Linked DNA regions of Elephas maximus indicus. The protein of the gene in region 1 interacts with the protein of each later gene in a pairwise test. Links are inferred from orthologs where the notes say so. Each region holds a gene or a part of one and is shown on either strand. Other genes may lie near its edges.

Evidence for each region.
Region 2: the proteins of CREB3L1 (region 1) and TMEM11 interact in binary tests that used the Homo sapiens proteins (3 or more experiments, as listed by UniProt). The two-hybrid records come from large-scale screens. The link is inferred for Elephas maximus indicus from reciprocal best matches to the Homo sapiens genes CREB3L1 and TMEM11.
Region 3: the proteins of CREB3L1 (region 1) and PLP1 interact in binary tests that used the Homo sapiens proteins (3 or more experiments, as listed by UniProt). The two-hybrid records come from large-scale screens. The link is inferred for Elephas maximus indicus from reciprocal best matches to the Homo sapiens genes CREB3L1 and PLP1.
Region 4: the proteins of CREB3L1 (region 1) and FXYD6 interact in binary tests that used the Homo sapiens proteins (3 or more experiments, as listed by UniProt). The two-hybrid records come from large-scale screens. The link is inferred for Elephas maximus indicus from reciprocal best matches to the Homo sapiens genes CREB3L1 and FXYD6.

Annotation. Positions count from the first base shown.
Region 1 is NC_064825.1:101,759,544-101,767,245, forward strand, and holds the start of CREB3L1 (cyclic AMP-responsive element-binding protein 3-like protein 1), read left to right. Parts: upstream 1-4,698; 5' UTR 4,699-5,163; coding exon 5,164-5,265; intron 5,266-7,702.
Region 2 is NC_064820.1:216,394,517-216,402,274, reverse strand, and holds the start of TMEM11 (transmembrane protein 11, mitochondrial), read right to left. Parts: upstream 3,016-7,758; 5' UTR 2,945-3,015; coding exon 2,883-2,944; intron 1-2,882. UniProt on the Homo sapiens protein: Plays a role in mitochondrial morphogenesis.
Region 3 is NC_064846.1:54,511,467-54,519,252, reverse strand, and holds the start of PLP1 (myelin proteolipid protein), read left to right. Parts: upstream 1-4,779; 5' UTR 4,780-4,973; intron 4,974-5,863; exon of another isoform or gene 5,864-5,954; intron 5,955-7,786.
Region 4 is NC_064835.1:10,219,264-10,227,213, reverse strand, and holds the start of FXYD6 (FXYD domain-containing ion transport regulator 6), read left to right. Parts: upstream 1-4,946; 5' UTR 4,947-5,054; intron 5,055-7,950. UniProt on the Homo sapiens protein: Associates with and regulates the activity of the sodium/potassium-transporting ATPase (NKA) which catalyzes the hydrolysis of ATP coupled with the exchange of Na(+) and K(+) ions across the plasma membrane.

The DNA.
Region 1 (7,702 bases):
ACAGAGTAGAACTGCCCCATAGAGTTTCCAAGGAGCACCTGGTGGATTCGAACTGCTGACCTTTTGGTCAGCAGCCATAGCACTTAACCACTATGCCACCAGGGTTTATCATCAATCATATAGCGCACCATTATTTTATATATTCTAAGAATGAAAGAAAATGCTGCCATTTAAACTCTGACACACCATCGATTAGAAGACATTCTCATTTCAGAGATGTTGAAAAGTGAAAAAATGTGCATCTTAGAGTCAGTGGAATCCAGCGCTTATCTCATCAGCTTGTTCCAAGAATTAAACAAGATAATATAAGTAAAGTATTTAGTGCCTGGCACAAAGCAAGTACTCGATAAATGTTAGCTATTTTTATGACTCAGGGCAGGGCAGGGAAGGGACCACAGACCAGGGGATGAAGAAAAGTCCAGAGCCTGAAGCCCACCCTGCTGTCCTTGGCAGGGTGCCGCCACAGCAGGGGGCACAGGGAAAGAGGCCCATTTTCGGGAGCCACAAGAGAACAAAGGGCCCCGTCTGCGCCCCGGAAGTCAGCCTAATCTCCAGGATGAGTATGTTTTCATTTCTCAGAAGTTCCTGTTAGAACGTGCCAAAACGTTTTCCCTTTACAATCCGGGCAAACAAGGCAGGTTTACTTTGGGCAACCTTCTCGCCACCACCCAGGACCTGCCTGCCAAGTGTAAACAGCCCGCCTCGCACCTTCCTCAAGGCTTGGGGCATAAGGCTGTAAAACTGAGAAGGCAGGCCCTCCGGCCCCCACCTCCCCCGCTGCGGGACCCTGTCCTGGTTGGGGCATGTTGGGAAGATCCTTGGAGAGGACAGGACTCTAGGGGTCATGAATGAACACCTTCCCCATTTTATTGATGTGGAAACTGAGACCCAGAGAAAGGCAATGACGCTCCAGGTGTGTCAAAATGTAGCAGTCCCCAGCCAAGAAGCCTTCCCCCACATACACACAGCCCTGCTCACATAGCTCAGCCTGGCAGCTTGCTCGCGTGTTCTCTCTCTCTCTCTCCCTCTCTCTCTCTGCCTGGCCCCCAGTGCCTGGGACAGACAGGAAGCTTATCTCTGTCCTTTCCGCTCTGTGCGTCACTGACTGGGCTGGGGAGTCTTTATGCCTGAAGCTTCGCCTCACAGCTGGAGCAGCTGCTGAAAAGCAGAGACCAGGTGTTCCTGAGCCAGAAGGGCTGTGCTCCCTTATTTTCTCTGCCTGGAGTATTTGGGAGTCTGAGGGTGGTGTTTACAGAACGAACTTTGGCCTCCTTCCTCAGACCCCATCTTTTCGTATGAGGGGGGCTGTGTTGTGGGACCAGGACCAGGGACTGGCAGGAAGGAGAGCAGACCCTCCCTGTTGGGTCAGAACCCAGACTTCAGACCCCATGAGCTGTCCAATTTCCTGTCCTGGAAAATCTTTAAGAGACTATTCGGAATGGACACAGTGCTGATGACACCCTACAGAAGCCTCAGGTGGGCTCTCTCGTTTGAACTGGCACAGTTCTCCTCAATCCTTGTGTGGAACACAGCCTCACTCCTTAGTGTGGCCCTAAGGTTCATGTAGGGGCTTGGGGCTTCACAGTCATCATCGCCCTCCAGGCCCCTCCCTACCCTTCCCAGTTAGGCCTTTCTCTCTCCTTCTCTTCTACTTGCTGTTTCCTCTGCCTGGAACGCTTTTCCCTCCATTTTGCTCCATACATAACCTCAGTTCACAGCTCAATTCACCTCTTCAGAGAGGCCTTCCCTCCCCGCACAGTCACGTCACACTATGATATTCCCTTCAGAATCCTTATCAGTCTCTGAAATTATCTTTTAAAAATTACTCACCCCTACTTTCCTCCCCTGCCCCAGTGCCTGCACGCCCACGTTCACTCTGGAATGTACGTTCCTCATCAGTATCATGTCTCCAGTGTCTGTTCTAGGGACTGTTCATAATAGGTGCTCAATAATACTTATTGCATGTGTGAATAAATCTCCTGCCAGCCTCATTTCTGCTGAGCTTTGCCATCCCCTTCATTCCAGAAAAAAAAAATCATGCTTCTACTACGTGCCAGACTCTGCCCTGCCCGTTCTCTCTTCTCTCCTCCTCCCACCCCTCCCCCAGGACTCCTCTTAGGGGATCTTGCCTCTCAGACTCCACAGAAGGTGCCGGAACCAGAATGTCTCCCCAGGATTATTTTCAATGGTTTCCTGGGGTGTTCACCTGGGTAAGAATCAGGAAAGAGAGGACACTCTAATCCTATTTATCTAAAACTATATAATCTTCCCCAATCACTTAAATGGTGCCTGTGTCTCTAATTACAGAGCAGGCTGGGAGGAACACAGGCAAAATTTCCAGCCCACCTCAGGCAGAGGGGCACTTTTGTTCCTCCAGAGGGCCTGCGGGGACTCCAGCTCAGGAGCCAGGACTCCAGACACCTGCTGCCACAAGCTCACCCACAACAGACTGGCTTGTTCATCCAGTCAGAGACTGCTCCTCCCACCCTGAAAGTGATCAGCCACATTGAATGGTCCCCAGTTGGCCACATGTGAGACCAAACCAAAAAACCAAACCCAGTGCCGTCGAGTCGATTCTGACTCATAGCGACCCTATAGGGCAGAGTAGAACTGCCCCATAGAGTTTCCAAGGAGTGCCTGGCGGATTCAAACTGCTGACCCTTTGGTTAGCAGCCCTAGCACTTAACCACTACACCACGGGAAAACACCCACAGTCTCAGCATCCTAATTCTATGTACCACTGTTTTGAGAATAAACTGGTGTGTTTTTTTGTTTGTTTTTGGCTGAGGGGGATAGCCTAAATTCTCAGGTCCCTGGGAGGTGCCAACGGTCCACACCTGACTGTTAACCTAAAGGTTGGTGGTTAGAACCCATCCAGAAGCCCATGGAAGAAAGGCCTGGAGATCTGCTTTCATAAAGACTGTTGTTATTGTTAGTTGCCATCGGAATAGACTTGACGGCAACAGGTTTGGTGCTGGTTTTTGTTTTTAACTTCTCAGGGTAGTGTTGCTGGTGAACTGGTCCCCAGAGCATGGCCTATAATCCCAGCTTCTTGGGAGCAAACTCTCCAGGAGGCCTGGGAGCTAACAATCGTGTGACAGCCTGGAGGGTCAGAGCTTCACTACCCAGAACTGTGTCCACTGGGTCATGAGTTGGGGGAAAGCCACATGCCTGCCTGCCCGCCCCAGGCAAGCAAACAGCCACTCTCTCAGCCCCGGTGTGTGCTCTTCTCCCACCTTGGCACCGAGAGAACAATTTCAGTGACATCCATGGCTTAGGTGCAGTGACATCTCCACTTCTTAAAAGGCCTTTTCATTCCTGAGCTAATTAAAAGCCCCAGAAAAGGAGGAAACACTTAATCCTATCAATGACTTCTGAGCTGGAGGAGCTGGTGTGCCCAGCCCTCTGAGGGAGCGCCTTTTTCAATCACCTCCATTTGTTCAGGTGCCTGGTAATTGTTTATCAGCCCTTTCAAGAGATTAAGTTGTACATAGTAGTGGGCCACTTAGCTGATGGATCCAGGTGGCCTGGGAGTGTCCAGGTGACCGTGGAGCATGCAGCCATCCAGTATCTTGGCTCATCCAGACTCTAAAGCCAGGATAGGCCTCTGGCAGAAGAGATTGACACGTACCTGCCAGAGGCCTATCCTGGGTCTGAAGAGTCCACCCTGGTCTCCAGCGACTCATCATCTCAGCACACACTTTGCCTGCACACATGGAATCCGCCTCTCTCTCCACAAATGCCTTCACCTGCTACGAAACACAGGATGTCACTCAGCCAAAGGCTCCAACTTCCCACTCTTTAGAACCATTGTTATTGCTGCTAATTGCTGTTGAGTTGATTCTGGACTCATGACAACCCCATGTGTACAGAGTAGAACTGCTCCATAGGATTTTCAAGGCTGGGACTTTTCAGAAGCTGATCGCTAGACTTTTCTGTTGAGTTACCTGTGGGTGGGTTTGAGCTGCCAACTTTTTGCCTAGTAGACAAGTGCTTAACTTTTGCGCCACCCAGGGACTCCTCCACAGAACCGTTAGGGGCACTTGATGACTGATGAGAGGAGGGGTCCTCCCCTCATCTCTGCTGTTCAACCGAGCCTTTCACACACAGGAAAGTTGGATACAGTCCTTGCCCTGAAGGATCTCAAAGTCCAGTGGGGTCAGTGAGGGAACAATGATAGTACCTCATTAGATTTGCCACAATGGAGGTAAGCACACGGTTTCCTGTGAGTGTATAGGGGTGGTAACTGCCCCAGCCTGGAAGTCAGGGAAGGTTTCCTGGAGAAGGAGACACCTGAGCTGAGACACTAAAGATGAGTCAAGAAATTGACTATATCCTCATTGAGGGAGCTCTGTTGAGAGACCGTGAGATGGAATCCCCTAACCGTGGGTTTGTTTCAGGTTTTAGCATAAGGCTGGAAGAATGGAAAAAGCAACTTCCTCATCAACTTATGGGAGAATAGTTGGCAAAGCCTAAACAAGGTGTCGAGACCCCAGGAACATTGTTATAGGCTCCAAGACGCGTTTGCTTCAAGCTCCTACCTACCTGGAGCATTCAGAGAACAGAAATTGACAAGGGAAACCAGGTTGCGGATGTTTCTTTAAAAGAGGAGTGATGTTTCCTCAAACCCTGCCCCCTTCTCATGAATATTAAGCTATTGTGAATATTGATGTGGGGGCGTGGCGCCCTGGCCGGCTGGACTAACCAGCCCGGGGTTCCCGGTTTCACAGTGGGGGGGAAAGTGACAGAAGCCTTGTGGAGGGAGACGCGGAGAGAGCGCTAGCGCCCAGCGCCCACCCAATCTCGGGGGAGCGCTTAGCTCCCTACCCCGGCTCCCATCCTGTCCAGGGGGCTCCCCAAGCCCTCAGCCCCACCCCTGGGCTCCCCATGGAAGCCAGCTGTGCCCCGGGAGGAGCAGGAGGAGGAGGAGTCGGCTAGATGCCCACGGTGCGCCCGGGGCCCCTGAGCCCAACACGCTCGGAGCCGCTGTCCTGAGGCCCCGCGCCCTGAGCCCCTCAGCCCGGGCCGCCTGCCTCCCACTACCCCTCCCCGGGGGCTTGGCCCCGGACCTGCCCCCCGGCCTCCTGCCAGCTCGGAGCGGAGCGCGCAGCGGCCCTGGAGTGAGGGGAGCCAGGCCGAAGGGGGTCCCCGGAGCCCGCCGCGATGGACGCCGTCTTGGAGCCCTTCCCGGCCGACAGGCTGTTCCCCGGATACAGCTTCCTGGACTTGGGGGATCTAAACGAGTCTGATTTCCTCAACAATGCGGTAAGATGGAGGGGGGGTCTGCGTCCTCTTCCCGCCGCCCCGCACCTCTCTTCGCGGCGCGCCTGGGCCCCCCGGAAGGACCCCACTATACACATTACTGGGCAGGAGCGAGGGAGAGTTCCCTGGAGGGCCCAAGGGTATAGGATCTCCTGGAGGGACACGTGCTCTGAGCGCTGAGATTTGGCAGCTGGGTCCCTTGACACTTCCGTAGACACCGATCTTGGACCGGAGCCTCCGAGCTCGCCCCAGCGCGCGTCCCTCCGGGGGCTCGGACCATGGATACTTTCGCCCTGGCCTTCTAGGGCAAAGGGACGTCGAGGCGTCGGGGCTACTCAGTCCTGGGATAGGAGCTTGAGACACCATCCCCCCACCACTTCATCTAGCCGTCCTCCACCCACCCCGGGCTTCTGGAATCAGCCTGGACGAAAAGTGGCGGCGCCCTTTCCTGCGCCCCCTTTAGGACCTCGGTGGCTCAGCGTCTGGTTTTCCGCTGGGGGGCGCACAGCGGAGCATTCAGAGGGCCAAAGACCCGGCTCCCGCGGTGGGTGGGGAGGGCGGCAGAGACCCGGCGCCCCCGGAGGCCAGAGCCAGACCCGGAAACTTAGGGATGCAGCCGCGGCTGCTTCCCACAGGGAGTCGGGCCTGAGATCCCCCGTGGAGGAGCCCAGCTGGTCGGGGTAGCACAAGGTGGCACTCAGGCAGGGGAAGCCTCCCTCTCCATCTGTGTCTCTGGGTCACTGCTCTGTGTCCCTGCCCCTCATGTCTTGCTGTCTCTGTCTCCCTCCCTGTGTCTTCACGACTGTATCTATCTCTGGATTTGTCTTTCTCCTCTTGCTCCCTGTTGCCTCCCTCCCTAAGGAAATGTGGCTTCTTTCTTTCTCTTCTTCCCTCCCTGTCTTCCTTCTCAGGCTCAGCCCTAAGGCCCTGAGGAGGGCCATGGGCTCAGTAAAAGGAGAAATATTTGGGTTGGGGAAGGGAAGGTGCTGCCCTATGACATGAGAGCTGCTTGAGGAATCTGGTGGGAGCCCCCTATTCTGTGAACCATCAGTCCCCCACTCCCACCCCCCTACACAGCCTCAGTAATCATCTTGGGGATCTCTCCCTGATGGCTTCTACCTCCTCAGAATAAGATAAACTGGGCCAGACAAGTACGAATTCCACAGAGACTTATAGGGTTGGAGAGCCTGGGCCTGGGCATCTTAGACTTCCACCAGAACTGTCACAGGCCATTTGACTAATGGTGGAGAAACCGAGGCCAAGAGACAGAACCTAAGTCAGGAAGGCATAGGATAGGGTGTGAGGTCTCCCCCATCTCCATTAGCCAGCAAATCTTGGTCACCCTGCTCCCTGAGAAAGGCCCCTTGCCCCAGTCAAAGCAGAGGAGGGAGAGACCTGGCGCTGACAGCGGGAGACCTAGGTTCTAGTCCTGGCTCTGCTGACTCTGCTTGTGAGCTTGGGCCAGGTCACTCACTGCCTCCCTGGCCTTCGGCTTCTTTGTCTGTAAAATGGGAGAAAGGTTGGATCAAGTCTTTCTAAGAACAGTTCTGGCGTAGATCCAAGGAATAAACCAGTAGGTGCTGGGAGTCCACACACTCCTGGGGTCGGTAGGAGGTACTGGTCAGAAGGAGAAGGTTTGTTGGCGCTGGGATCCTGGCAGCCAAGGAGGGCCATGGAACCAGGATAGGCCCCTGGTGATCTTCCCCCAGCCCTCTGCAGCTCTGAGTTGGACTTTCTTCTGAATGAACTCTGCAGCCTGCACCTCTTCCTTCAGCTCCATTCAGCCCTGCGTCCCCAGCTGCTCATTTGGGCCTCGGTCCGGCGCAGGAAATCAGGCAGTGGTGTCCAGCACTGGGGCTGTGGTGAGGAGAAGCCCTGCTGGGGAGCCTCCTGTGCCTAGAACCTGCAAGGCTAGGCGAGATAGAGGGAGAAGAAGGGGCATCTGAGGGGAGACAGAGAAAACCCTGGGCTGAAAATCTGGAGATTGGTCCAGCCAGGCCAATGCAGACAAGTGGCTCTTCTTCCTCGGGGCATTAATTTCCTCATCTGAAAAGTGGGGGGCTCTTAGAAGCTTCACCACAGTGTTGTGGTAGAGACTTGGTGAGAAAATGAATGTAAAGGACTTAGCACAATGCCTGGCATGTAAGAGTCCGTAATCACTAACTCATCCCAGAGACTGGATGAGAAGGAGCTCTAGTGGCTCAGTGGTTAAGCACTCGGCTGCTAATCAAAAGGTCGGCACTTTGAACCCACTAGCTGTTCTGCTGGAGAAAGATGTGGCAGCCTGCTTCCATAAAAGATGACAGCCTTGGAAACCCTGTGGGGCAGTTCTACTCTGTCCTATAGGGTCGCTATGAGTCAGAATCAACTCAGTGGCAATGAGTTTGGTTTGGCTCGGTGGTAAGAGGTACTCAGCTAGAAGTTGCTGTGTGAGCAAGTC
Region 2 (7,758 bases), on another chromosome or scaffold:
GGAGCACCTGATGAAAAATGGGCTCAGGCAAAGGATTCCAGCTGAACCTGGTCAGGGCCTCAGGGCGAAGGGAAACAAAGGGTCCCCCCACAGCCATACCATATTATCTGGAAGGAGGGCAATGGACCCACCCAAACCACAAAATCAGATGTCCCGTTTCTGAGGGACACGTGATATCCACGTGTGTGAATACAGCCTTCAGTTCCAGGCCAAAGTTTGCAACGAGAACACCTACAGAGACCTGCCAGTGAAGGTGTCAGACAGGGAGCAGTCAAGCTTGACATGGCAGTCAAGCAGGAACTGGAGAGCACGTGCTCTATCCAAAACAGCCAGCCTCTATCCAGCTTGTTGAGAAAGTTTTATGTAAAATCTCTCAATCTATAAGTGTTGGCAACTAATTTAATTGTTTTAAAAATTGAGGGCCAACAGGGAAAAAGGATAAATAGGCAAATGCTAGGTTGTGTATGGTTTTGCAACAGTAACAACCACCCAAAAAGAGGGGGGACCCTACAGATGCTAATACTAATTAGACATAACCAATCACCTCGAAGGATTCATTCTCTTGGTCTGGGGGCTTAGGGCCGTGGTCTTGTGGGATACTCGATTGGTCTTCTGGGACAATCCAGTCAACTGGCATAATATAGTTCTTAAAGTTCAAGTCCTACCTCCCAGGATGGTAAGAAGGGTCTGGGGTTTGAAAAACTTACGAGTGGCCACCTAAGATACAACAATTGGTCCTTATTTTTGGGGAACAAAAGAGAAAGAAGAAAACCCAAGAATCAGAGAAGGAACAGGGCAACAGGACTGTCTCCTCCACCTCCAGACTAGAAGAGCTAGTGGTGCCCAGCTACTACTCTTGAACATTCTGATCAAGAACACAACAGATGAATCCTGATAAAAGGGGAGAAAAATGTGGAATGGAACTTCAAACTCTTAAAGAATACAGAACTACTAAACCTACTGAGGCTCTGTCCTAAGACCATGGCCCTGAGTTGATCTTCAAACCTTGAACTGAAACTACCCTCTTAAGTCACCTTTAAACTAAGTAACAGTTTAATCCAAAGAGTAAAGATTGTCACCCAAGAGTACTGTTTCTTAAAAAAAAAAAAAAAAAAAATCTTGGTATATAAAACCAAAGGGTCAACAACTACTTTAAAAAATAGATAAGAAAATTGGGGAGCAGGGAGATTAAGTAAATGGAAGTGAAACAACTAGAACAGAAATAGAGAGAATGTTAACACAATGTGAAGAATGTACTAATGTCACTGATCATTTTGTCCAGAAACTGTGGAATAGGAGCCGGCTTGGTTGCATGTATTTTCATCAAAAATAAAATTAAATTGAAAAAAAATTTTTTTGATGGTCAACAGTTAAGGGCCGGATTCACCCTATAGGCTGCTGGTTTGCAAGGAAAAAAAAAAAAAATCCCCAATATGTTCTATTTTCTTGCTTCAAGTTTGCTGGCACTGGTCCTGTACCTACCATGCTGGAGGCATCCCCACTTGGCCCTTCCAGCTGCTTTTATGCAGTGAGGAAGAGTGCCTTTTTTCCCTAAGAAGTTATTTCCAATTACTAACAGATTAATGTTTGCCTTAAACATCTTGAAAATGTTAGTTTTAAGGCCACCTGGAAACCTAAAGGTAGCTTCTTTCCATGGTCGTTCTAAGAAATACCCGGTGGGAATTAGGGGAAAAAAAAAAAAAATTGCTTGGCACCGCGCTTCCAAGGAAGAGGAAATGCAGAATGGCCAGTATTAGATAACTCTGAGCTCAAGAACAAAACTAAGCTGAAGAATTCTACCACAACTGCCAAACAGGAAGAATCTTCTGAGCCGGGAAAGCCATTTGCAGGCAACAGTAATGAAAACGTGATGGAATCAGACAAAGAAAAGTAGTTGAGAGAGAACTTTTCTGTTTAACAATCCTTGCCAAAAAGCAAAACAAAACAAAACTTTCCTTTCTTGCTAACTTCTGCTACGCCAATCGACCCTAACAGAATGGATAGGACAGTTAAAGCTGGATGGCTCCACCAACACACGTCCTCTCCTGAACTCCTAGTAGCTGAACGCTTCTAATGGCTTCTAGTAGCTGCAACTGCTTTCCATAAGCAACAACTGCAAATCCAACATTAAACACAAAAACTACTCCGATTTCATTTTCTAGAAACCAGTTATCCAGACAGACATCCACTCTGGAAGAAACATGCTCCTAGCTCCCTAACCACACACCGTTTATCAGGAAAGGTCACTTTAAAGGACTTAGACGACAGGGGCGCTTGCAGAGAACCCTCAGAAAGTCCAAGAATCGCCCCTAGAGGAAGAGGCCGTCTCTCCGCCGGGGACAGACGCATCTCGACCGGCTAGGGCTCCCTCTCCGCCCCCCGCAAACGTGCAAGTTCGCACAATTTCTCCATAGCTGACCTGCTTCTGTCACTGCGTCCCCTTCCTCCTCCCTCCAACCCGGCCGCCACCAGTAGAAACCCGTCCCGGGAGCCATTCCTCGCCACGGTGAGGGCCGCGGGGGACGTGCGCGTGGCTAGGCGGGACTCTGGGGCCTGCGCGGGGGGCCCCGGCCCTTTCACACGGCGCGGCCGGGTCGCGGCCCACCTCGCCCGGCCCGCCACCACCCCATCCACTGAGTCCCCGCACTTCTGCGCCCTGGGAAGCTGGCCTTGGCTTGGCCCGAGCGGGCGCCGGTTCCCACCCGTGTACCAGATCCTCCCGGACTGGGTCCCCGCGTGCCCGGTGGGGGACGAGGAGAGCGGGCGGGAAGACGGAGCCTGAGAGCTGAGGCCGGGTGAGCGCTGCTGCTCTAGGAGGCCCCAGCGGGCTCCACGGCTCCTGAGGCGCCTGCCCCGGAGAAACAACAAGACCCGAACCTCACCTCTCTCGGGTGCTGCCGCCACTGCTGCCCGGGCCAAGGCGCCTCCTTCCCCAAGCGGCCATCTTGGAGACACTCTGCTCGCAAGCGCCTGGCGCCAAGGCGGACCCCAGGCTGCTGCGGACCGAAGGGAACTGTAGTCCATCAGCAGCCCCGCGGCAGCCGGGACGCCGGGGCCGCACAGCGCCGGACCGCAACACCCACAGTGCACCGCGCGCCGGAAGCCCCGCTTCCTGCCTCCTGGGAGACGTAGTCCTCGTTGGGGCGGGCCGCCGGGAGACTCAGCTCTCAGGGCGCTTTTAGAAGTTAAACTCTCGAAGCTCGCAGCCTGGGGACTCAGGCGCCCGCCGCTTGTCTGTCCTTGGCTCTCGAGGGCAAGTAGGTGAAGGGGAGAAATAAAGGAAAGTGCCTACAGCTCCCAGCATGCTCCGCGGGAGGCGGCCCTCGCCCTGCCCGCCGTCTGCCGCGCTGCGTTCCCTGCGGCGGCCGCGGACTAGCAGTCGCGCTGGTTCTGCGGCTCCGCCTGGTCTGGCCAAAGCGCGCCGCTCGTCTTCCCGGTGCTGCGCCGGCGGGCCCAGCTCGGGCCCCTCGGCCTCGCCCCACGCGAAGACGGCGGGACATGCCCTTCACATCCGCCTCCGCTCCCTAAGGTCATTGAGGGGCAGGAGGCGCAGCTCGGACCCATTCGCCCAGATTGTCTGGATTCCGGGGACACTTTGGAGACCAAGTCAGGCGCGGCCCCTGCTGTCACGGAGCTGGAGGAGAGAGTCTGAAAGCCAGAAGAGAAATCCCTACAGTCTGCGATAATTGCTGCCAGGGAAATAGGGTTCTCTGATGGAGAAAAACAAGCCAGGGGTCTTTTAGATAGGGCCGCTGGGGCCTTTTCAGGCCCTACCACACATCACACGCCCTCTGCTGTCTGCAGTGGCTTGAATGTAACCTCTTATTTCGGTGTTTTTGAAACCGTATGCCCGGCAGGTCTTCCCACGTGCCAGGAACCCTGCTCCAGGACCTGCCTGGACACAGCTCTAAAGGGTCGGGGTCAGGATGGACTCACGGAAGCCCAGAGATTCCTAGATGCAGCTTCCTCAGACCTATGGGCATTTTGGGGGTCTGAACTGCTAGGCCCTCTCCTGCTTCCCACAAACTGTATTACTAGACATATTCGTTGGTTCATAAATATTCATTGAGTAACTATTACATGCCAAATCGGATTCAGATTCAGAGTCGGGAGTAAGCTTGCTCTTGCTCTCGCTCTTGGCACTCCAGCCAGGTGGAACTCCGCGTTCCAACGCAGGAGACTGTCAGGGTGAAGAGGTTCATCAACGAGCATTCCTCCGGACTTCGTTCCAGCTCCCACGCTACAATATTTTTATCTGCTAAAAGTTCCCTCGCAGTCGCTCCTTACCTACGGGATAAAGTCCAGGCTCCTTAGCACGATCTAGAAGCCCTCCTTAATCTGGCTGCTGCCTACCTCTCCAGCTTCAAATGCCTCCTTTTCCTGTCTGGAACTTGACACTCTAGTAAATTCAGAGGATCTGTGGGTCTCCAGATGTCCCATGCTCTGCCTAAAATGCTTTTCCCTCCTGGCCAGATTTTATGCTTCAAGACCTTGAGCCTATCTGATCTCTAGGAAGTACCTGCTTTCCCAGTTGGAGAGCACCAAGCACTGGTGTGACAAAGTGTAGCACACTCCAGAGACCTCTGAACACTTAGCATAGTACCTTGTTGCTATCTATGGACATGTCTGTCTTTTTCTCAGGACCTGGAGCTTTACATAGCGTGGTGATTAAGAGGCCATACTAGGGATTCTAGAACACCTGGATTGGAAGCATGGCTCCACACATCTGGATCTAGGGCTTCTTACATTACCTCTCTCAGCTTCCTTGTTAATAACACCAGGATGATATTAGTACCTCCTCTCAGAGGATTGCTATGAGTATTACATGAGATGGTAACATATATTGAACTTATGTTAATGCTTGGCGCAAGGTAACAGCTGATAGCTATGTAATACCAAGCACTGTTCCAAACATGTTAAACAATATAATTCTCTTAATCTCCACAACAGCCTTGTGAAAGTGATACTGTTATTACCAGCATTTCACGAATGAGGAAACAGAGTTACAGAGGACTTGAGTGACTTGCCAAGGTCACATTGCCTTCACCCCAGGCTGTCCAGCTGCAGAGCTTACACTATGCTCTATTGTGTCTCAAGAAGAGCTCTGTAAATGTTGTCTTCCTCAGTGAGAACAGATGGGTTCCAAGACTGTCCAGTGCACAAAGTAAATGTCAGTGCTTAAACAGCCACTGACCCAGGATGACCTTCCCACTCCCCAGCTCTTCCACTATGCCCTCAACTTCTAAATAGCCATCTGCTTCCAATCTGCTGACTTGAGTTGAAATCCCCAGAATGTTGTCACTTGATCACTAGAGTATAGACATCTTCTGAAAGGTTCGTAGGCAGGTTGACTCATTCAGCATGTATGAACTAAGCACGTACTGAGGACACAGCCTGAATTGTAGGAACTGGAATTCCTATGGGTTCCCATGCAGGGGAGACCCCTAAAGAGATCCCTGATCTGCTGCTGACAGGCAGCTGGTGGGACAGGCACGTCTGAGCTGGTGCTTTTCTTACCACACTTTTCATTCATTCGTTCTTAAAACGGTTAACTATTGAGTCATACTCTGTTAGGCACTGTTTTAGGCACTAAAGGTAAAGCATTTAGTAAGACAAATACTGTTTCTGGTCTCATAGACTTTACGTTCCAGTGGGATAGACAATAAATAAATACTTTAAGAGAGTACTGAGTACTGAGAAGAAAACAAATAGGAAGATGTAATAGAGCAAGTTGGAGGGACAGGAGACTTGAATGAAGAGAAAGCGTGTGCTCTATGAAGAGCTGGAGACAGACTGTCATGAGCAGAGACAACAATACATGCAAAGGCTCTGGAGTGCAAATAAGCTTGATACGTTCCAATAACAAGGTGGCTGGAGTATAGTGAGGAAAGGGTAGCACATACTTGGTTTGCTTTAGGTTACTTCCCATTTTAATTTCCATTTATTTTGTTGTTGAGATACTTCCTTTCTTTAAATTTCAGTTTTTTCAACTGTAAAGTAGGGATAATTTTACTTACATTGGTCAGTGTCTAGTTAGAAAAAACAAAACACCCTAGGTATTTCAAATAGAAGGACCTTAATGCAGTGTGTTGTTTACAGCATGTTGGAAGGGCTGGAGAAGCAAAAAGAGGGCAATGAATGTCACCTGTGAATACTGTGCTCCTTTAAAAAATCATCTATATGAGGTTAAACTGTCAACAATTAAAACAAAGATGAGAATGTAAGGGGGCGGGGAAACTAGAGTAATGGAAATGAAACAACTAGAATGTTCACACATTGTGAAGAATGTAACCAATGTCACTGAATAATTCGTGTAGAAATTGTTGAATGGGAACCTAAACTGTTGTGTAAACTGGAAACACAATAAAATATTATTAAAAACGACAACAATTGCAGCAGTGTTTACAATAGCAAAAAGCTGGAAGCAACCAAGGTGTCCATCAAAGGATGAATGGTTAAATAAATTGTGGTATATTCACACAATGGAATACTACGCATCAATAAAGAACAGTGGGGAATCTGTGAAACATTTCATAACATGGAGGAACCTGGAAGGCATTATGCTGAGCGAAATTAGAGGCAAAAGGACAAATATCGTATAAGACCACTATTATAAGATCTTGAGAAATAGAATAAACTGAGAAGAACACATTTTGTGGTTACGGGGGGGAGGGAGGGAGGGTGGGAGATGGTTTTTTTACTGATTAGATAGTAGATAAGAACTACTTTAGGTGAAGGGAAGGACAATACTCAAATACACAGAAGGTCAGCTCAAATGGACTGGACCAAAAGCAAAGAAGTTTCTGGGATAAACTGAATGCTTCAAAGGTCAGCGGAGCAAGGGCGGGGGTTTGGGGACTATGGCTTAAGGGGACTTCTAAGTCAATTGGCAAAATAATTCTATTATGAAAACATTCTGCATCCCACTTTGAAATGTGGCGTCTGGGGTCTTAAATGCTAACAAGCGGCCATCTAAAATGCATCAATTGGTCTCAACCCACCTGGATCAAAGGAGAATGAAGAACACCAAGGTCACACGATAACTATGAGCCCGAGACAGAAAGGGCCACATGAACCAGAGACTTACATCATCCTGAGACCAGAAGAACTAGATGGTGTCTGGCCACAATCGATGACTGCCCTGACAGGGAGCACAACAGAGAACCCCTGAGGGAGCAGGAGATCAGTGGGATGCAGACCCCAAATTCTCACAAAAAGACCATACTTAATGGTCTGACTGAGACTAGAGGAATCCCGGCAGTCATGGTCCCCAAACCTTCTGTTGGCCCAGGACAGGAACCATTCCCGAAGACAACTCATCAGACATGGAAGGGACTGGACAATGGGTTGGAGAGAGATGTTGATGAAGAGTGAGCTACTTGTATCAGGTGGACACTTGAGACTGTGTTGGCATCTCCTGTCTGGAGGGGAGAGGCGAGGGTAGAGAGGGTTAGAAACTGGAAAAATTGTTACGAAAGGAGAGACTGGAAGGGCTGACTCATTAGGGTGAGAGTAAGTGGGAGTATGGAGTAAGGTGTATATAAGCTTATATGTGACAGACTGACTTGATTTGTAAACGTTCACTTAAAGCTCAATAAAAATTATTAAAAACAACAACAACAACTATAATCAGACAGAAAAAGAGTGCAACAAGGATACCCAAAGAAGCCCTGGTGGTTCAGCAGCTAAGTGCTCGGCTGCTAACCAGAAAGTTGATGATTCGCATCCACTCAGCAGCTCTGCAGGAGAAAGACCTGG
Region 3 (7,786 bases), on another chromosome or scaffold:
TAGCATGTTATCACGAACATCTTTCCACGTTAGCACGTACCTACCTCATTCTTTTTCAACAGCCACACCGTACTCTGTAATTTTTATGTTCCCTAGTTTAACCAGTCCCATATTAATGAACATTCAGGTTGTTTCCGATATTTCATTATTTAAAAAAAAATGCTGTAATAGTACAGCTTTATTAGAGCATGAGACTAAGTATTTCTGAAGACTCTGTTCCCAGAAGTGCAACTGTTTGGTGAAAGGATTTACTTATTTACAACTTTGATAAGATAAAGCCAAATGCACATTAAAAAGAACTGTTTCAATTTGTATTCCCAGCAAAAGCGCAAGTCATTTCACCAACCTCCTCGACAACCGTAGATAAACATCTTTTTTTTTGGGGGGGGGGACCTCTTTTTTTTGGGCAATCTAATGGGTAACAAGGCATTTTATTTTAATTTGAATTTTTGTGATACAGAGCATCTTTTCATATGCTCGTTGGCAATTTCTTTTTTCTTCTCTGCTGGGTTATTTGCTGCTTATTAATTTCTACTAATTAAGTTTTTTTGAGCTTATGTTTTGGAATATTTTTTCCAAGCTGCCATTTGTCTTTTTGTTTGTGGTGTCTTACTTTAAGAATTTCTAAGAAATCACTGACTATACTATTTCCTAGTATTTTTATAGTTTTTCTCCTACATTTAAATCTGTAATCATCTAGAATTCATCTTTGCATAAGACATTAACTTTTCTCCAAACACACAATGAACTTTTCCTCATCTCAGTTACTGAAGAGTCTACCCTTTCCCCAGTAATTTGAAATGCTACTTTATTAAATTCCCAGAGGTATATGGGTCTTTTGTGGTATTCTCTTCCCCATGTTTGATTACTCAATTCTCAAAGGCATCACTATTTCTAGGCTATCTGTTCTGTCCGTGATGTCTGATTATTCTCAAACTGGCATCACACTGGTTAATTACATAAATACTGTTCTAGAATAACACTTGTAAATGTGTACAAAGAAAACTATGTAAGGATGTTTGATGCAGAATTATTTGAAGTAGCAAAACACCACTGTCAATCTCCACTCTGGCAAAATAAAAAGTGGTATATCCATGATATGCAATATCATGCTAGTTAAAGGAATGCCACTGTGAAAGGAATCGAATAGAACTGTGTGAATGGACATGAAGAGATCCAAGGGAAACTGAACAAAGATAGCTAGTTGTAAAACAATACTTATGGTGGGACACCATATTTGAGTAAAAAGAAAAACACAAAACAGTATTTTATATACATACATAAACATCTTTAAAAGAGGTACACATTTTAGGGATCTAGAAGGAAACAAACCAAACCGGTTAACGGTTACCTCTGGGGAGGGTAAGAAAATTGAGGGTGGCTAAAAAGAAAACCTAAGCCTACTGTTAGATTTAAATTTATAAGGAGAATGTATTCACATATTGATTAAAAATTAAATTAAAAATACATAGTTTAAATTCATGATAATAATCTGAGCTATTCTTATCCATGGATCTTACATAGTGCTAAACTATTCAGTTAGTTATTCTTGCTTATTGTGTACTCTGTAGGAGCACCATTCAGACCGGTTTCCCTCCCTCCTTCTAGGTTCTGCCCAACCTCAGAGGCTCAAGTCAAGATCCATTTCTTCCTCAAGGCTTTCTCCATTTCAGGCCACCCTGACTGATACCTTCTGTGACCTCCTATTGGCCCCACAGTACACCCTGCTCCCTTTAGCCTTTAATCATTCTCCAAATGGCCTCATGTAGAGGGTTTATCTGTCTACTCATCTAGTACATCTCTTCCACCAGGGCAGTGCCCTCCTCTGAAACCTAGCTTTTGGAACGGAGAAAAATAAGCAAAATACAGTGACTCCATGAGAAAATGAAGCTGTCAAGAGCCTGCAAACCTTCCTTCATCTCCTCAAGCACGGGATGAACCATTCAGGAATGCAGACTCCAAATGCTAACACCTTTGTGTATGCGTGTGCCACAAATGAGTGTGAATAGCACCTCCTTGTTTGATGGACTAAACCTTCAAATGCACATATACCAAGTCAGTTTCATTTATATCAATCCTCTCTTCAGGATCTTGGAACATCTCCTTCATGTGTAACCGTTTGTTATTTTTTTTTTCTAGACCGAGGACAAAGGAGGAATGATATAAAAGCTATCAGCGAACTGAATATGGTGTGATTTGCTAGTTGCCACTTATGTTAAAGTCATAGCTCCTGGGAATACCCTGATAAATATGTGTGATCAATACATTTAAAACCTTTCTAGACTGTTAGGACAAGCCAGAAGTCAAAATTTCAGAATTCAGTTCTAGTGGTAACGCTGCTTCTAAAAAATCAGGAGAGAAACCAACATTATTAATTTTTTTTTTGCAATTCCAAAGAGAGGTATCTACTGCATTTAGAAGCATGTGTAAGTGTGTGTGTAAAACAGGATGTATCAGAAGGACTAATCATTATTAAAGTACCTACATGTGCCAGGCGCCATCCTGGTACTTTACATTTAATTCTTACAACAATCCTATGAAGTTGGTACTATTACTTCTATTTTACATACGAGGAAACGTAGGTACAAAGTGAGTAAATATCTCGCCCAGGATCACAGAGTAAGTGGCAGAACCAGGATTTAAATTTAGGAAGACAGTATTTGCTCTTAACCACTAAACTATGCTGCATATAGGATACCCCAAAGTAGGAAAAAAACCAACCAAACAAACATATGGATTTGTGGAACTAACTATAAGGCATCATTTGTAAAATCTTTCATCAAGGGATGCAAGATTATATAAGCCCTCTCTTGTTTAGGCCTCTATATCCATTTTCTACTCTGGAAGCACCAAAGGGTTTAGCTCCATCCTTCCCTTTCCCAGATAAGGGCTTATTAATGTTCTAAATATTCCTGGACATTTAGCAAGACTATGTGGTATTATCTTGTTTGAGGACTGAGGCCAGGAGAAGGGAAGCACTTACCCAAGATTCTGTAATGAGGGATGGTTCTGTAATCAGGATCAGATCTTCTGATCCTTACTGTGCAACTAACTTAGCTTTTCTGATGATGACCTAGAAGGTCAAAGAAGGGGACAGGAAAGGACATAAAATAAAAAGATATCAGACCACGGTTTTCTTTTCCATCAATCAATGCATTTTATCACACACAAAGAACACCAAAGCTGATAAATATGCACAAATATTTTTTTCTTTCTTGTGGTTATATTTTCAAATCATGTACATTTAACCTATTTTTTAAACAAACTAATATTTAAAAACCATTTTATGAAGGAAAAAAAATCAAATGGACAAAAATTTAGATAGAATAGTATCACCAACCCACACGAATCTATCACCCAGCTTCAATTACCAACTGAAGGCCATCTTGTTTCATCTATAACCCCACCCACTGCCCCCCCTCCAATTTTTTAAGCACCAAATAGCTGATTTTTTATATTTCATTATGGAACATTTCAAACATACACTAAGATAGACAGAGTAATAACAGTCAGCTTAAACGATTTTTAACTTCAGGCCAATTTTGTTTTATCTACAGCCCTCTCCGCTCTCCCCTTCGCAGAAATTATTTTGAAGCAAATCCTAGTCGTCAACGTATTTCGAAGCCAATCCCAGACATTATATTATTTAATCTGTGAATATTTTAGTCGATATCGCTACAAGGTAGAAAATTTAAAACCATAACCACAGTATCATTATAACGCCTAAAAAATGATATAAATTTCTTAAAAGCCATAAAACATCGAGTCGGTGATCAAATTTTCCCTATGTATCTTAAACAACGTTTTACAGTTGTGTTCAAATCAGAAACCAAACAAGGCCTACTCATCGCATGTGGTTGATCTCCAGCTCGCTCTCGTTTTCAATCTTTTTTTTTTTTTACTTTTCAATTTGGAAAATTTCAATCCTATTCCGAAGCAAATCTCGGCGTATTGTTTCATCGATAACAATTACGCCTCTTACATCTCTAATTTCTTCGAGGGAAGTTGATGGGCAGGGAAGGCACTATAATGAGCGAATTTACATAATACATATTTTCTCATTCTGTTATGTGAGGCTTTATCTCCATAGTAATAATAATATCTACAAGAGCCAGGCTTCGTATTGAGCGCCTTATACGCACTATCATACTTAACCCTCGTACACGTCTCTGAGGTAGATACTATTATTATCACCATTTTACAAACATGGAAACCGAGATACAGAAAGAATCGGAGCCTTGCCCGAGCTGGGCGTTGGCGAGCAGGAATTTGAACCAGCTCTGACCGATTGTAAAGCCAGTAGCTGATTCTGTCTGTATATGTGTATATATATACCTTATACATACACAGGATAAAGGGAAATCACCAACCCTTCCTCCCCACCCCCACCCCGAAACCTGAAACGAGAATCCAGCTCTTCCCAACAGCCGACGTGTGATCACTGCCGTTCCTCCAACCGCCATAGTAAAGCCAGGTTTCTCTGGCAACTGATATCCATAGGCAGACACGTCATCCTAAAGGCGGGCTTATGCCCTTCAGCCAATCACATTCGTCTTGTCTAAGTTTTAGAATGTTCTATAACCAAATGATTGGACGAGGACTACCACGTAAGCAGTGACACTTAGCCGCAGTAAAGGCGGGTGCTAGTAACCTGCTTCTTCACGGTTAAGGCTCGGAGCAAACCAATCACCTTCCTTCTTTACTGTGAGCTGCAGCCAATCACATTCGCCCTCTTAGGTTCTTAGCCCACCCTCCAAAAGCGCGACAGCCTTTGGGTCATAAGTCTATAGAGCACAGTGTTCACGTGGCCTATTTTCACGACCCAGAGTTCCCTTGACCAGAAGGTTTTTTTTTTTTCTTTAGAGAGGCATTATGGGTCCCCCCCGCCACACTGGGAAAGGAAGTGTCTACGTGGCCTGCGGAAACGGGACGGCGGAAATGAGCTAAGGTTCCCGCCGGTGGGGAAGCGCGAGGTCAAACCTGGGGCCACGCCCCCCAACCTCTTGCGCAACTCGGGGGGGGGAGGCGGGGGTGTTTTTAATATGCGTGTGAGTGGAGGCGGCGGGTGGCTCGGGCGCGTGTCGTTGGGGCCTGTGTGTGTGCGCGCGCGCGCAGGCGAGCTCGCGTGGCCTGGGGGTGTGCGCCAGCCTGCGCCCTTAGCTTTGGGGCACGGTGTGTGTCCCTGAGTGGGGTTGGTGTGAGTGTGTGTGTGTTTACCTATAGGTGAGCTGCACTATGTTAAATTTAGGTAATAAGTGTGTGGGTGTTTATTATAGCAATTGTTCTCTACTTTTGTATGTTTGAAAATTGTTCTAAAAAAAAGGAAAATAAGTCAAGCGGATAATAACAAAGGGCCTCTGTTATATGAAGTATTTTGGTTTCTCCTATTGACTCAATTTTAGACCCTTCCACGTTTTGCTCGGTGCCAAAATCCTGCTCTAAATCACATCTCCCCATTGCACAAGAGCCAAACCCTCCCGTTCCTCTATTAGCAACTCCAAGGGGCAGCTCCTTTCATATTCCCCAATATCCTCCTCCCATCCCCGCCCGCCCTTCCCCCTACCTTCCCCCGCCTCCCGCCCATCCCTCGACTCTTCTCTCCCTTCCCCCCCTTCGCGCCCTTTCCCCCTCTCCATTGTGTCCCCCGTCCCTTTTCCCCCCTTCTCAGGACAGCTCCCTGCTCCCTGCCCCTCTCTCCCATTCCCACCCCTTTCTCCCTGCCCGCCCCCTAGCCCCGCTCGTCCCCAAAGTTGCACGCAATTCCCCTAGTACAAATATAATTTTCTGCTGGGATAATCAATATACGACTGCCTCTCCCTTCACGAAGGACCGTAAATTTCTGTGGCGGCTGAGGAACTCTTACCTTTTTGTCCTGACCACCAAGCACAGTGCCCTTCAAGCGAGTACACACACAATTAATTTTCCAGAAAGTTCTCTGGATGAGGTTTATACCTCTCAAGTCGGCCACTAGATGTCGCCAAATCCTAGCAAAGGATTGGCTATTTGGTCCCTGGAATTATGGGATTTTGTCCTCCCGTGTTTCTGATTTGCTGAACTCTCCAATCTCCAGTGAGTATATCTTTCTTTCGTTTCTAGGGGGAAAATGAAGCCAACCTCTGTAAATGGCCCTAATAGGCAGGGGACCATGGCCCAAGATCCAAATGCTTTTCTTGTTTCTTTCCTTCTTACCTCATCCCTTAAAATTTTTTTTTCCTTCCTCATTCCTCTGTCTTCTTTCTTCCATGCCTTCTTTTTTTAGGGAAGTGATGAATGATACTAGGCACTGATGCTGATGAAGATTCTACCCTTTCTGTTCACCTTCTTCTCAAATGTTAACAACCCCCCAAAACAGTACACAGAGGGCTGTTTAGTCCGTAAAGATAGATTAAAAACTCTGAGGTAAAACTTGGATCTGGCATTGAAAACTGATCTTTTCTCATGACAATTTTATCACACGTGTGTATGTGCAGTGGTACTGCTAAACTTTATTATGTCTTTGGAGCCAGAGACCTTTTAATCTCTATGTCACCACTTTATAGCCCTGTGACTCTGGGCAAATGATTTATGTTCTGTGATTCTCAGTTTTTTGCATGCTTTCTATATTTTAGATGCGGTGTTGACCTCACATGGATATTCTCATTTATTCCTCATAAAATCCCTTTTAGGTGGGTACTACAAAATCAAAATCCAACAACAAAAATCATTCCTCTTTGAGTTATCAATCATATATACATTATGTGTGTATGTCGGTCCGGGGTCGTTTAGAGCAGTGGTTCTCAAAGTATGTTTCCTGAACTAGCAGCTTTAGCATCACCTGGGAAGTTGTTAGAAATTCGGATTGTCAGGCCCCACTCAGCCCTGTTGTCTGCCGTTGAGTCGATTCTGACCCATAGAGAACCTTTAAGACAGAACTGCCCCCATAGCGTTTACCAGGCTGAAATCTTTACAGGAGCAGATAGCCAGGTCTTTTCTACCGCAGAACTGCTGGTGGGTTCAAACCACCGACCTTTTGGTTAGCAGCCAATCACTCAACCACTGAGCCACCAGGCCTCCTCACTTCAAACCTACAGAATCAAAAATTCTTGGGGTGGGGCCTGGCAATCTGTATTATTAGAAGCTGTCCAGGTTATTCAGATGCACACTAAAATTTGAGAACCAGCGCTTTGGAGGGCAGAAATGCAATGCTTATTTTGCACATACCACTAGAGGGTGCTACAGAATTTAACGCAAGATAATAAACAATTAATTTTTTTATGCTTATTGAGACACTCTGGATTAGGAACTAATGTGTAAAAAAAAAAACCCAGTGCCGTCAGGAGGTGTCAAATTATTTCCCCAAGTGCACAAACAGATATGGGAACCAGGATTTGAACTGTATCTGCCTCTCAATCCTAGCCCTTAACATTATTGTTCAATTTATAGCTTGTCTCTGGGCCTCAAAACACATTACAAATACTTTCTCTCTTCCTTACTTTGGCTAATGTTAACTAGAGAGACAAGGAAGGGCAGGGAAGCAGATCAATTAAATGGAGATATTTTGATGATTTTATACCCTTCTCCATCTCCATTCTATAATTGGATATCACATAAAAGCTCATGAGTGTTTCCCTTCTTGCTTTTGTATTTCCCAAATGCTCTGTCTACCCTGAAGTTGTTTCTTTTTTAGTTTATGTCTGAATCTCTTCCATGTGTAAGGGAGGAATCATAGTGCTGAGGGAATAAAAGTTCTCGAAAGCCTAGTATGGACCCCACTATATAGATCTATACCCATTAATTTCAACAAGAG
Region 4 (7,950 bases), on another chromosome or scaffold:
TAATCTAAGGGGGACATGGGGAGGGCGGAAGCGGCTGTGAGGAGTTTGGTGATGGATTGATTAGGAGGAAGGCCCTGGGGTTTACTTGTCTGGGTCTCTGGGGAGAGGACCAGGCTGGAGACTGTGGGGCCATCAGCCCTAAGTGGGATGGTAAAACCACGGTCGTGGATTACATTGTCCAGGAAATATGTAAATGACAAATTGCCCAACAAAGCTATCCAGGGAGAAGTGGAGGAGTTCGAGAAAGAAAGGTCAGGGTAGGAGGGGTCCAGGATCAGGAGTGGCTTGGAAGTGATAAGAGCTCTATTCAGCCAAGGAGTTAGGAAAGCACTGTTCTGTCCTAGACACTGGGGCTCATCATTTGGCTGAGGGGCGAAGACACACACTCAAACTTGGACAGAGCAAAACCAGTTGCCGTTGAGTTAGTTCTGCCTCAGGACGACAAGGTGTGTGTCAGGATAGAGCTGTGGCCCGTGGGGTTTTCCCAAGCTGGTTTTTTGGAAATAGATCACCAGATCTTTCTTCTGAGGTGCCTCTGGGTGGACTCGAACCCCCAACTTTTCGGTTAGTAGCTGATCATGATAGCCATTTGCACCACCCAGGGACTGTATGAAGCAAAGTGAATGCGAATGGCACAAAGCAGCAGTTTGTGAGCTGCAAATGGTCCGGGCCAGGTGCTGCCTGGCAGGGTCTGCTCAGGTTCTACAGTCTACGCCCCGGTATGAAATGACATCTCATAGCTTCCCGTGGCCGCCTTGGACAGTTACCTGCTAGGAGTGGCAGGGGGTGTTCCCTGATACTTCTGGTCTCCCTTCTTGTCAGTGGCTGGGTAACCCAGGCACTAACTTGTCGAAGGGCTATTTTTGCCACAGTACAAGTGGCACGAGTGCTATCCAGATGGGGTTTTAACTACACAGTTGTAGGGTACTTAGCTCAGCACAAGCTTGAAGTGTGGAGCAGTCGCTTCCATGCCCAAGGATGATGCTATCCTCTTAGTCCTAGGTCTTCCCGTGGCTCCAATTTGGGGGTGGGTAGGAATGGTTCCTGTTCTTTCTTGATCTCCTTCCACCACTGCTGTGAACCTCTTTGTATCTTGGGCCTCTAGAAGAGCCTTCTAGAAGGACCCTCTAGCCCTAGAGAACGACCAGGCCTACTGCTCAGCAAGTTACCACTGTTTTCCTCACAGTGCCCTGAGCCCTGACTGCGGGGTCCGTCATTCTTGCTTGTAACAGTTTTCTTAATGTCTTTCAGTGGCTTCCCACTGCCCTAAGGATAAAAGCTGGAATCATCCAGGGACTACCAGGCCTGCCCTAGCCTGACCTCTGCTTCCTTCTCCAGCGTTCCCACTCTGCTCTATGGCCACACTGGCTTCCTCCTGCCTCAGGGCCTTTGCCCATGCTTCTTCTGTTCCTGTGGCAGAATCGTTTCTCAGCCCTGCCTGGCACACCAACTCCTGGCCCCTTCATTTCATCCTCCTGACCCTTCAGCTTGCTTCTCACATGCTACATCCTCAGGGCCCTGATCAGTGTTTTGATGACACACTTATTGCAGGACTATTTGATGAATATCTATCTTTCCCATTAGGTATACTTCACAAAGGCAGGGACCGTGACTTTACTGTCACCACTGTCTCCCCAGAGCTTGGTCCAGGGCTCAGCAGAGTGGCTCCTCAAATCAGTTAAATGTGTTGAAAGAATGGTAGCAACTGGTGACCTCTTTTTATCCAGACCTGCATTTTTCATAGGGTAGATGCATTTCTTTTTCCGCTAGAAGGGAGACGTGACCCCCCCCCAGAACAAGCTGGTTTGTGACTGTAACATCCCAAATTCCTTCAGCAGTGCCCTGGGATGGAATGTGAAGAAGCACTATCTGAGGTCAAGCCACGACTGTTCCTCATGTGAATGTGGCTGCTACTATCCTGTCACTGGTCTGCAGTGACAGGCAAGGTGACATGGGGGTAAAGTGGCCAAACACTTTAGAATTCCCTGGCAGAAAAGGGGCTGGCACCAACAGGTGGCCCAGCTTTGGAGTCCTGACCCATTGGCCCTTCCTTTCTCAAACAGGTCTGCAAAGCCTAGGTTTTTTACATGTCCTCACCAATAGGATCCCTGAAAGGAACACAGAGAGGTGGCCAAAAGGCAGACGTCAAGGGTGCCTGGAAGGGATTCATCTACTTGCCCAAGGACATGCGCCTAGCAAGTGGTGCAGCTTTGCCTCTCCCACCCAGAGGAAATGCAAAGGGGATAAGACAGTTGTAACAAAGTGCTCAGTTAAAAAAGGAAAAAACAGAGGAACAGAACGATTATTTGGTCTGTTTAACGTCACAGAGCTGGGCAAGATTTGAGGTAGAAGAGCTTTACCTTTTACCAGAACCCAGAGTTTGCAACTGGGCCACAGCGGGGTCCATTCTCCTCAAGGGCTTGTGCTAAAGGGGCCAGACTTGTCTTCCCAAGGGTTGCCCTGGTGGGGCTCTCTTCCCCTCTCTTTCTCAGTAGTCATTTATGGTTCCTCTCTCTACTGGCTCCAAACATACTCAAATCCTTCTTAAATTAATTTCTCTCTTATGCCTTGGGGTATTGAGACTCAACCATTTATTAAAATAATTAAATCATCTAGGGTTAGAATGGCATCCACCAGACGGAGTCCAGTACAACAAGATGGTGCCTGGCTACCACTGCTGGCTGCTCTGACAGGGATCACAATAAAGGTTCCCGGACAAAGCCGGAGAAAAATGTAGAACAAAACCCTAGCTCACCAAAAAAAAAAAAAAGAGGAGACTTACTGGCCTGATAGAGACTGGAGAAACCTCAAGAATATGGCCCCCAGGACACCCTTTTAGCTCAGTAATGAAGTCATTCCTGAGGTTCACCCTTCAGCCAAAGATTAGACAGGCCCATGAAACAAGACATAAAGCAAGACTAACGGGTCACGCCAGTCCAGGGGCAAGGACTAGACGGCACGGTTTCCAGAAGGCAGGAGGAGACAGGAAACCTGGTCATAGGGAATCCCAAGGTAGAGAAGGGAGAGTGTTGACATGTCATGGGGTTGTTAACCAAGGTCATAAAACAATACGTGTACTAACTGTTTAATGAGAAGTGAGTTTGTTCTATAAATTTTCATCTAAAGCACAACACCAACAAAAAAAAGAACTTAAGTAGAGTCTATTAGAAAAAGTATTTTTTGGGGAAATATGGAACTAAATACTTGTTCACTGCTGCTCCTTCAGTGATAGCACAATTCCTGGTGTTCAGTAAATCTTTGTTGAATAAATGAACAGAGTGCTACAGCAGGATGAGTAATGGCCCCCGAAGATATCCAGACCTAATCTCTGGAACCCGTGAACGTTACCCTGTATGGTGTAAGAGATGGTGCATGTGTGATTAAGTTAAGGATCTTGAGCTGTGGAGATTACGCTGGATCATCTGAGCGGGCCCTAAATTAATCACAACTGTCCTTTTTTGTCCTTATCAGAAGGAGGCAGAGGGAGATTTGACTATACAAGAAGAAGGTGGCTATGAGATGACAGGCACAGGGGAAAGATGGCAATGCAGCCACAAGCCAAGGAAGGATGCTGGCCTCCAGATGTTGGCAAAGGCAAGGAAACTTTCTCCCCTAGAGCCTCCAGAAGGAACCAGCCCTGCTGACACCTTGGTTTTATCGCAGTGAGACTGATTTTGACTTTGGAAATATAATAAATATGTGTTGTTTTAATAAATAAATAAATAAGTAAATCATCTAGGGTTAGAGCTGAAAGGGACTGTGGGGAATATTTAATCCTCACCCTTATTTCACAAATGAGAAAACTGAGGCCCAGGGCTGGGGATGTGGAGGCAGGGCTGGGTCTCCTGATCCATTACCCAGCTCTTCCTAGAAGCATCTATCACCATAGGGTTTGGGGTTTGTAAGGAAGACCCTGTGGCCCTACCCAGACTTGGACTGTCACAGTGTCTTTCAGGACTGCCCCCTTTTCACCCCTTCCCTCTCACATCTTGGCTCAGGCTGAGCAGCCTCCACCCACTTTCTGGGTACTACCAGCATGGCTGCCCCTCGCTGTGTTCCTGTGGTTTCTGCCTGTGCCTGGCCTTCCTGTCTTCCTACAGGCTCTCCTCCCGGTAGTCACAGCCAGTTTTTCAAGCGCTCACCGTGAGCACTGCGCTAAGCCTTCCAAGAGGTCAGTGTTAATCTTCGCCATTTTCACATGAGGAAACTGAGGCTCAAGAGGGTCCTTCTGTGATTTGCCCAAGATCACGGAGGCCAAATCTAAAAATTCGCAGTTGTCATCTGGAACTTTGACGCGTGAGGACTGGAGTGGAGCGGGGCTTGAACAGGGAGCAGTGAGGGGACCGAGCTGTGGCCTGAGAGTGGGGTGGGGGTCTTGAAAAGCGGGCCTGGGTACATCTGTGGTAGGGATGAGGGCCCCGCCGCCAGCACCCCACCTGGCTCTCACTGAAAATGACAGCTACAACCAGAGCTGGCTCCTGCGCCTACGACACTGCCATTCATGCTTTTAGTTCACTTCCCCTTAATTGCCAAGGCTCCCAATTAACGTGGGTTGCTGTGTCTGGTGCTGCGTTCTTTTCTCTGATTTTTCCGTTCCCCTCAGTTTACTATTTCACAGAGTCACTGGCTCTGGCACTGTGTTTGTCTCGCTCCCTTCCCACCCGCGCCAGAGGAAAACCAAAAAGCAACAGCCGGGCGCAAATCGCTCCCGCGCCGCACGCCCCCACGGGCAGGCTCCTGTTGCTTCTCCGAGCGCCGCTGGCCTCGGGAAAAACCGCCCAGACGGAGGGCTGCGCGCGAGCCGGAGCGGGCCGGAGGCAGGGGACGCGGCCCGCGGCCAGCAGCCAGCCGACGCCGAGGCACCGGGCCAGGGGCCCGGCCCCCAGCAGCCCCCGCCCGGCAGGCCGCGCCCCTCGGGCCCCGGCGCCGCCGAGCGGGGAGGCGGGAAAGCGCGGAAGCCGCGCCCAGCGCCCGCCCCCAGCCCAGCCACTCCCCGGCGCCTCGGGGCTCGGCACGTCCTCCAGGATCGGCTCCCAGGGGTCCGGGCTGAGCAGGTAAGGCGCTGGGGTGGGGCGGGGAGGCCGGGTTAGGTTCTTCTTCGAAGGAGGGCAGGAGGCTCGGGTGGGACCGACCCCCGGGAGCGGCGGGCTTTGTCTGTGACCGTGGATGTGTGCGGTCCTTCGTGGCCAGCGGCCGTCCTCGTCCCCGCCTGAACAGCTGGAAGCGGGTCTGGGGATGTAAACAAGGAGGTGGGCGTCGGAAGGGCCTAGGAGCCGCCGAGGGGAGCCAGGTAGCGCGGTGCGGGTGAGGCTGGTGACTGGCAAATGCTCAGGATGCTGCCTTGAGCTTGGGGCTATGGTTTTGGGAGAATGGCAGGGCGGCTCCCACCATGTCTTATCCGGAGGGTGTTTTTCCTTTGTTACTTGGAGGCTGTGGAGACTTGGCGTGGGGCGTGTGGATGTGAGGACGAGGGAGTGTGAGCACACGAGCCATACAAAATGGAACTTGCTTGTTTGGTGCGTGGGGGTCATGGCCAGGGATTGGAGCTGGGCAGCAGGCAAGGGGGTGGGGGCAGGTAAAGAAGGGCCTGGAGTTCCAGGGTATGGGGATTGAGGAGAAGGTCTGCATCAATTTTTTCCCCGGTTCTTCTTTCCAATCTGTTTTCTTCCCAGGGTGGAGGGTGGGGGGACCCAGTCCTATTCCCTCCTCTCCCTCATGTCCAGCCCCTCTTTCCTAACAGGGCTGACCTCAATGGAGCCAGGAACCCTGTTTCCCCCACTGTTTCCTTGGGCTTCGGTGGAGAGTTGGCTGAGCAGCCTGGGTCTCCTGGTGCTTGCTTCCAGCTGTTACAAGTGGTGGCTGGTAGAGAAAGTGCCCAAGGGTGGGAGCAGAGAGCAGCCATCCAGGAGAAATGGATCTGCCCATCCCCTGCTGCAAGCCTCCAGGTGCAGGGGCTGTGGCAGCCAGGGGCTTCTCCCACAAACGTGGCCTCTGTCTTCACTTCCTTTGTCTCTTGGCGTTGTGCTCTATGGCCGGGCCAGAATTTCCAGGCTTGGAGATGGATCAGTGGGCAGCCCACTCTCTCTATGACAGAACCTGCACTCTGGAGCTCAGCCGCCCTCACATTGTATATGTGTGGATGTGTATATCTGTTTCCGCAACTTAGCCTTTTGCATGTGACCTGCCTGGTGGTTGCCATGGAAACTCCTCTCTAATTCTCAGCCTCCCTCCTCCTTTTTCTGCCCATTCCTCACCTCCATTTCTCTTCCCCTCCCCCCAATATGGTTGCCTGGATACTGGTTACCCTGGCTTCTCTGGATTGGAGACCCTGGATCTCAAGCTCCCGCCCTAACCTGACACGGCCCCTTACCACAACACGCACATGCACACACCACTTCACACACACCCTATAAACGTACTCTTAAACACACACCCCACATATATACTACACACGCTCTGTAAGTACACCCTCACACATACTCCACACACACACACCCCCCACATCCTACTTGCCACGTAAAAAAAAACCAGTACTCCATAAACACAACCTCACACACCAGACACACATATCACACTTGTATCCTGCACACACACCACCCACAATGCTACACATACACCCTACCTCATGCTGTGCGTGCTCTTACATGCTGCCAATAATAACATGTACCATCACCTTCCTCAGCACACACCCCTTCTTCCCTCTAAACAGGTCTCAGGCTGGGATGAGGGAAGGAAGACAGAGGGAGTTTCCTGCCTCATCTACCTCTATGCTCTGGGGGGTGAAGATGTGGAGGCTCAGGAGCCTAGAAGAAAAACCTTAGCATCTCCCTGGGTGCCCTGAAGAAGGTGGAGGAAAAGTTGCTTCTAGATTCCCTCAAAATCAGAAACCCTCTCCTAGGTGCCAGACTCGAGCCTAGACGTGGACCAAAATTGCTTCTGTATGCAGTGGGCCCAAACATAGCAATGATCTTGAGGCTGGCTCATGGCTGGACAACGTTTCATTCCATCGCACATCCTCGCCTCCATATGATCTTGAAATCTTTCGACAGATTCTCTTAAGTAATGCACTCAGCTGCTAACTGAAAGGTTGGCAGTTCAAGTCTACTCAGAGGCACCTTGGAAGAAGGCCTGGTGATCTACTTCTGAAAAATTAGCCATTGAAAATCCTGTGGATCACGGTTCTGCTCTGATACACGGGGTTGCCATGAGTCGGAATCAACTCAATGACAGCTGGTTTATGTGCTAGGTGACATATTAATTGCTGGGGACAGATGGTGAAGAGGGAGACACGGTCCCTAAGCTCAAAAGCCTAGATTTCTCAGAGCTGGAAGGAGCTTTGAGGGAACATGCAGTCTGGACATTGTAGATGGGGAAACTGAGGCTCAGGTCACATGACAATAGGGGCTGGGGCCTTCTGACTCCTCAGCCAGGAGTTTTGACCCTACACTGCCTGTACTGTATTCCTTGCCATCCTTCCTTTATGACCATCAGCCCTCTGGAGATTGGGATGTTCCTTATAAAGTGTGGCTCCTCTAGTGGGCAGGGACCATCAGAGCACCTGCTCTTTTATGTTTACTTGGAAGGTGAGGCTGGAGGGTACAGCAAGGCTGTGGAGAGGAGCAGCTCCCTAGACCCTGGGAACTCCCCACAAGCCATGGGTGAGTCAACCTCACCCTAGATCTGCCCTCCCATAAACCAGAACATGTATTCTCCCCACCCTCAGCCCCGCTGGATTTAGTCTGCTGCCATCTGGATGGCAGACTGCCAGGTAGCCCCCAGGACTCATCATCTAATGAATCACCCACACTAGCTTCTGCCCCAGTGCCCTGGAGGAAACAAACCCTCATGAAAGGCACAGCCTGAAGGAGGCAGAGAGCCTGGAGGCTCAGACGTGGGTTCTAGTCTTAGCTGTGCATCCCAAAGGCAAATGCATTCATTCCACAGAGATCT